Linked DNA regions of Caenorhabditis elegans. The protein of the gene in region 1 interacts with the protein of each later gene in a biochemical or structural test. Each region holds a gene or a part of one and is shown in the gene's direction. Other genes may lie near its edges. The genes, in order: ubc-20 and ubq-2.

Region 1 (3,924 bases):
AAGCAGTCGTCGAGGAGAAGTTGGAGCTGAAAGTTGGAGAATTTCGACTTAAAAATCTGGAAATTTCAGTAAATTCTAACCATTTTGACTTGAATCGTGGACTGGCCGGCGTCAGGAACCGAAGAAGCCATCTGCTCGTACTCTGAGGCAATCATTTCCAGTGCGGCCGCTTGTGCGTTGAGCTGGGCCAGTTGCTTGTCGGCGTCGGAGATGTCGGTTTTCAGTTGGGACATGAAGTCGCAGGCTCTGGAAATTATTGAATTTTCGGGGAAATTTGCAGAATTTTGAAGGTTTTTAAGCAAAAAATGGGCTTAGCAGACTGGAATTGTGATTTTTCCCGCTGAAAAACACGAAATTCTTGAAAAAAATCGTGCTTTTTAATGTAAAAAACTTGAAATTGTCATCAAAATTCGATAATTTCGCAATTTGGGTATGCTAAATCCACGTTGGTCTGCTAATTATTTAGCAGACCCAACTATGGTCTGCTAATTATTTAGCAGACCCAAGTATGGTCTGCTAATTATTTAGCAGACCCAACTATGGTCTGCTAAATATTTAGCAGACCCAAATTTTTATGTTTTCCAGTTATTTTTCCTTCAATTTTTCAGTATTTTCAGCCAGTACCTGAATAAAATCGCGGCGTTTGTAGTTTTACATCCCAGCGAAGTCGTTGTCTGAGGAATTAAATCCTTTAAATCACTGTATCCGCTCTGAAAAGTTGAAATTTTAGCTTTTTTCCACGAATTTCCAAGCTTCAACAAACATTTATAGCTTCTCTTCGCTGCCGTTCACACCTCAAGTGCGTCGCCTTCTTTCTATCCGAGCTAAATCCGCCGGAATTCGTCGCTGGCGTGTTTGGGGCCGATGGGGAGCTCGCCGAGCCGTCCGGCGACATTAGGTCCATATCGTCCGGCTTTTGAGAGGAGCTGGCAGCTGCGGAACGGCTTCGAGACATTTTTGGGCTGAAAAACAGAGAATTTCAGTAGAGTAATTGGGAAAAAAACGAAGAAAAACGCGGATTTTTGAAATTTGGGTCTGCTGATTAATTAGCAGACCTAATTGTTCCCTGGCAAGATTTTTTTTGAAGATTTCAATCAATTCTAGATATTTTCTGAACGGGTTTCTCAATAAACAAATGGAAATTCCCTCTAAACCTTGAGAAAATTAGAAGTATTTCGGCAAAAACGTTCAATTTTCTTTTTTGAGAAAAATCATGATGCAAAAACTAAAATTCCTATAAAAACTTAATCAATCTGTGAATCGATACTTCCGATCACGGGTTTGATCGTTTGAACCCGTTTTTTCTCGGCGACAACGATGCTCCGACTTAACGCACGGTTTTCTCCGGTTTTTCCGGGTTTTTGTTCAATTTTACTGTGATTTAAGCAATTTTTCGCATAAAAATTGGTTTTTCAACATTTTTCTACATGATTTTTGATTTTTATTCACGAAAAACGATGAAAAATCGATGAAATTCGGGGAAAAACAAAAATTTCAGTTGCAAACGATGCTCCGAAATTCCGCGGCGCGCCCTGTTTATCATGAGTTGGTGTTTGAATAATTTTGATGATAATTTCAGACTTTCTCGAAGCTTTTTCGATAATTCCTTGAACTTCATGATTTTCGTCGATTTTTCAGAGTTTTTCCACTATTTTCCATCGTTTTCAGACCATGTCGAACATAGCATTCAACAGACTCCAACGAGAATGCAAAGAGGTCGTCACAAACTCGGAAATCAGCGAAACCGGAATTATGATCGAGATATTGAACGAGAATCTCACCGAAATCAAGGTAAAACGCCGCGAATTGTGTGTCGGAAATCTCAATTTTTATCGGTTTTCAGGGACACATCCGCGGTCCACCAGACACTCCATACGCCGGTGGAATGTTCGATTTGGATATTAAGATTCCAGACCAATATCCATTCTCGCCACCAAATGTACGAGTTTTTCTGCCTGGAAAGCTTGAAAATTGTCGAAATTTGTGTAAAAATCGCGGTTTTTCAGGTCAAGTTCAGCACAAAAATCTGGCACCCGAATGTCAGCTCGCAGACCGGCGTCATTTGCCTCGATATTCTTAAGGATCAATGGTAATATTGCGATTATTATTTTAAAATCGGAAAATTTAATTTATTTTCAACTTCAGGGCCGCTTCGCTGACTCTTCGCACGGTTCTCCTGTCGATTCAGGCGTTGATGTGCACACCGGAGCCCAAGGATCCTCAAGATGCCGTCGTCGCCAAGCAATACATGGAGAAGCCAGCAGTTTTCAAGGTAGCAGCGTGGAAAATTCAGAAAATTCGCGGAAAAATGGGGAAAATATTGCGAAATCCGATTAAAAAATCAATATGGGTCTGCTAAGTAATTAAGTAATTAGCAGACCCAAATCTTCCCTTATTTTGTGTGTTTTTTTGCGTATTTTGCCCCAAAAATTATCTATAATTTCCCATTTTTCAGGCCAACTCGAGTTTTGAAGCGTCAAAATTGAGAAAATTCGATGGGAAACGTGCAAAATTCGTTAATTCCCGAATTTTGGAGACAATTCTGACTGTTTTACACTGAAATGCACGATTTTCTCGGAAAATTATTGATTTTTGCCCTGAAATTTCAGAATTTGGCCGATTTTCTTTAGAATTTGGGTCTGCCAACTAATTAGCAGGCTTGTAGAAACGCCACGTGGTTTTCGATGGTCTGCTAAATATTTAGCAGACCCAAGTATGGTCTGCTAAATAATTAGCAGACCCAAGTATGGTCTGCTAAATAATTAGCAGACCCAAGTATGGTCTGCTAAATATTTAGCAGACCCTAATCCCGTATTTATCCTTTAAATTTAGTTTTTTTCGCGGAATTTACTGGTTTTTTCTTGTTTTTCAACCAGGAAATCGTTCAAATTCATCACTTTTTGTCCCAGAAGCCGAGAAAAATCAGTTTTTCAGCTCATATCGAAATTTGTTTTTCAAAAAGAAATTATAAAAAAGTTTAGCAGACCCAAAACTCAACAAATTTGGCGAAGTTGTTTTTAGTCTAAAAACTCGAATTTCCCCGAAAATTCGTTGTTTCCAGTGAGTGTAAAAACTCGAGAAATCTCAAAAAAAAAATTGGTTTTCATTCGAATTTTCTCAATTTCCACGCTTGAAAACTTTAGGTAGCCTAGAAAATAGACAAACATAGACAACATAAACTGAATAATAGCCTAATATGCTCTTAATATACTAAATTTCCACCATTTTTCAGGCCACCGCCGAGTACTGGACGACAAAATTCGCAAAGGGAGCCGTGAAAAACGCCGGATACCAGGCTCTCGTCGACAAGCTCAAGGATATGGGAGTCCGTGAGGAAGAGGCTGTCAGCGTGCTCAGCTGCAACAATTGGGACATCAATCGCTCGACGGTCTACATTTTCTCTTAAATTCTTTTTTATTCGATTTTTTTGAATTTTTTCTGTGAGCCTCTTGTCTTGAAGTTTGTGTCCTAAAAATCCCTTATTTCTTCCATTTTTTTCCGAGAAATTTTCGTCCCCAACCCCCCGCACCACTGGTATTTCTTTTTACCAATTCGTACCATCCTCACCCCAAAAAAACCGATCAGAATAGTAGATTTTCCGCCTGATTTGTGTGTGTTTTGCCTATTTATTATCGATATTATTCATTGAAATTTCCCCCCTTTGACCCCCATTTTTTTTGCAACGATACTCTTTCCATGAATTATATTGACGGAGTTGTAGCTGCAATTTTTATCCGATTTTCTGAAAATTTTTGGCGAATGTCGTTTTTAATATCTTTAAAACTCCATTTTTATCTGTAAAATCTATAATTTTAGCACCCAAAAAAATGCCAGCAGAGCCACAAAAATCCACAGAAGCCGGCAGCGTGGCACCGGAGAAGAAGCTGAAAGCGTGCTGCGCGTGTCCTGAAACGAAACGAGTGA
Region 2 (3,385 bases), about 13 Mb from region 1:
GTTCGATGGAGCGCGCTTGCATTATTTTAGTTAATTAATTTTTATTTATTCTCGTTATTTGACTGATTTCCTTCATTATTTGTGTATTTTTATCTAAAAAAAGAGAGAAAAATGCAAATCGTTCATTAAAAAATCACTGAAAATTGGTAAAACTTGTGTGAAAAATGCTAATTTCAGACTTGTTGTCGTCGGAACTCATAATTTTATAGTTTTACGCATTTTCAGTGATGTTTTAATGAACAATTTTCATTTATCTTGCATTTTTCTCTCTTTTTCCAATAAAAATACACAAGTAATAAAGGAAATCAGTCAAATAACGAGAATAAATAAGATTAAATTTTAAAAATAATGCAAGCGCGCCCCGTCGAACAAACTTAATTGGCGGTAATTCAAATAGTGAAAACTGAGATTTTTGGTGGCCCTATAAGAGCTCTTATAAGAGTATTTTAAAGCAATTTCCCCATTGACGATACTCCATCCTTAAACAAAAAAAGAAAGTAAAAGAATAATTATTAGAGAATTTATTGAATTTTACAGAACAAATACAAGTGAAGATTATTAACAATATCGATCAGATTTCATTTTCATCCGTCTGTCCAGCAGCAGCTCGTGTGCACTTCCGTCGGCCTGCGCTTTCTTAACTCCTTTCTTGTCCTTCACGTCAATCGCAATATGTCGGTTCTTGAGATCAACCTTCGAGTGCTGATACATCTTCACGTAGGCCGTCTCACACTCCCGAGCGTTTTTGCGGTCTTCCACAGATCTCCAATCGACTGGGCCTTCTTGTATAGCGTCTGTACGGATCTGGAAATTGAATTTAATCGGATTTTATCTATTTATATCTAAATTAGCACTTACATTAACCATTTCATTCTCCGTAGCGGTTCTACTAGCCACATAAATATGCCCCTCTTTATTTGGAACTGTAGAGAGGAAAAGTGGTGAGGAGACGGCTTGGAACGCGGTTTTTCCCTCCTGGAAAACCAACACGAATTGCTCGCGGGATCCAATAGCTTCAGCCATGGCAACCAATTGATATTCGCTGTCCACTCCAACATATCTTCCGAATCCTGTCTTCAAACTGATTTTACTATCGTCTGGAGTTTTGACGAGCGCGAAAATTTCCTCAGGATTCGGGCCTTCTCCCTCCGGATGTGGAAATCCAATTGTGAATTTTCCGTTGTCCATTGCAGCGACATAAGTTCGCGTTGAGCCGGCTCCACTGGCAACTTCGATGGCGACGTTGGTTCCTCCTTTCATATCGAATTCATCGGCAATTTTGCGCCAACCACCATTTTCGACGGTGTCTGGATCGATTTTCTCCTTGTCGTCTTTGTTCTTCTTCTTTTTCTCCTTTCCCACTTTGAATCTGCAACGAGTGAATTAATGGAGGATTTTATACACTTTAAACTTGAATATGTCACTTACAAATTCTTTTTTCCGGCTTTTAATTTCAATCCACCACCTTTTACAGCACTGTAGTCAGCGCCTGGCATTTTTTGAAGTTTTCTGCAATAAAAAACAAAATTTTCATCAATAAAACTGTAAATTTCATAACAAAACTCGAAGAAATCAATAAAAAAACGTTCGAAAAACGTTTGAAACAAAAAAATAATATTCGAATTCTTCTCCCCCTTCCCGTAAATCCTGCAGCTCTCTACCGTACTTTCGCCGTCTCTCAATTTCGCGGCGAGACCCATCACCACGGCAATCCTCCATTTGTGTCGCTGGGCCTAAATTTTTTCCGTTTTTTTGCTCGATTTTCGCCGTTTCTCTGCGAAATTTTTCCAAATTTCTGTTCAATTTAATCAAAATATTGTTCTGGACGCTTGTTCAGCATAGAAAGTGGAGATTCTGTTGTATTTTAAGCTTGGAAAACGAATTTATTATGAAATTTCATTTTTTTGCTAAATAATTTCTCTATTCTTGAATTTTTACAGCTTTTTAACGCAAAATATTCTTTCCTCTTTGTTCTAAATGGGTAGTTACACACATTATGCGGTCTATAACGTCTTTTGTCACCTTTGAAACTAGTCTCTAAAGAAAAATCAATAATTTTTGCCCCTACGCTCTCCTCCAAATGTTTCGCTCTCGCCGTCATTTTCTGACAATTTTACTCGGTTTCTTTTCAAATTATATAATTTCAGTCATGCAAATCTTCGTCAAGACTCTGACGGGTAAGACTATTACCCTCGAAGTCGAGGCTTCCGATACCATTGAGAATGTCAAGGCCAAGATCCAAGACAAGGAGGGAATCCCACCAGATCAGCAAAGATTGATCTTCGCCGGTACGTTATTATTCAGACCTGATATATTCTTGAATTAATTTCCGGGCAAAACACCCAATATAATTTTCTAATTTCAGGAAAGCAACTCGAGGATGGACGTACTCTCTCCGACTACAACATCCAAAAGGAGTCTACTCTCCACTTGGTGCTCCGTCTTCGTGGAGGTTAGTTTTTTTCTAATGTTCAGGCATTGAGAAATATTTCTAAATTCAGGAATCATCGAGCCATCTCTCCGTCAGCTCGCCCAGAAGTACAACTGCGACAAGCAGATCTGCAGAAAGTGCTATGCTCGTCTCCCACCACGTGCCAGCAACTGCAGAAAGAAGAAGTGCGGACACTCCAGCGAGCTCCGCATCAAGAAGAAGCTGAAGTAATCTTCACTCGTTCCAGTCCATGTGTTGGCAAATAAATCGTTAATTTTAATTGAATGTCGCTATTTGTGCAAAACGTAAATTTCGTAAATATTGGATTTTTGGAATGAGATTTGTACATGGTAACAAAGAATCATTATAAAATACAGATGCTCAAATCAATACTTCGGGGAGCTCTAGTAGCTACAAAGCCGGGTCCAGCCAGGCGCCAGTTCTCATTCACAGCACTTCTGCGGAGCGAGACCCAGCCCAAAGAGATAATTAATCTGGAACGGGTTCAAGTTAGAAAGATGAAGAAGAGACGCCCAGTTGCTTCATCGGTTGTTCCAAAATCCCTACGAGAACCTTCAGTCGTCGCCATGGCACTTTCAGAATCACTGAACCTCAATGAGGTCATCATGGATGCACAGCTCAATGGAATGTATAATATAACTGCAATCGACGAGGACGCGGATGACAGCTTGCACTTTGTCAAAAAACTGGAATATACCATCAATCCAGGCGAACTCAGTGAAATTTTCGTGTTTCGAGATGGAGTTGTCGTTTTTTGGAACGTTGATTCTAGTCAGCGATCGCATATTCTACGGGAGCTCGAACGATACGCAGATGCTCCATATGACTCGATGATTGTGATGGATGAGCAGGATAGAATGTTCTATAAATTTTCAGAGCAGTACGTTTTCTCTTGAAATCGTCAAATTTGCAAAAAAAAAACGGCGCCGCACA

Evidence for each region.
Region 2: of the proteins of ubc-20 (region 1) and ubq-2, one has a biochemical effect on the other in vitro, tested with the Caenorhabditis elegans proteins (one study listed by BioGRID).

The regions. Positions count from the first base shown.
Region 1 is NC_003281.10:187,170-191,093, forward strand, and holds ubc-20 (UBC core domain-containing protein), read left to right. Parts: upstream 1-1,668; 5' UTR 1,669-1,671; coding exon 1,672-1,791; intron 1,792-1,843; coding exon 1,844-1,939; intron 1,940-2,006; coding exon 2,007-2,089; intron 2,090-2,145; coding exon 2,146-2,272; intron 2,273-3,232; coding exon 3,233-3,406; 3' UTR 3,407-3,778; downstream 3,779-3,924. Other genes in the region: mxl-2 (Max-like protein homolog 2), read right to left, coding at 1-26, 81-246, 625-710, 764-955; cox-17 (Cytochrome c oxidase copper chaperone), read left to right, coding at 3,828-3,920.
Region 2 is NC_003281.10:12,977,286-12,980,670, reverse strand, and holds ubq-2 (Ubiquitin), read left to right. Parts: upstream 1-2,147; 5' UTR 2,148-2,149; coding exon 2,150-2,288; intron 2,289-2,365; coding exon 2,366-2,452; intron 2,453-2,501; coding exon 2,502-2,662; 3' UTR 2,663-2,708; downstream 2,709-3,385. Other genes in the region: frg-1 (Protein FRG1 homolog), read right to left, coding at 559-804, 859-1,369, 1,429-1,496; ZK1010.2 (DUF155 domain-containing protein), read left to right, coding at 2,809-3,332.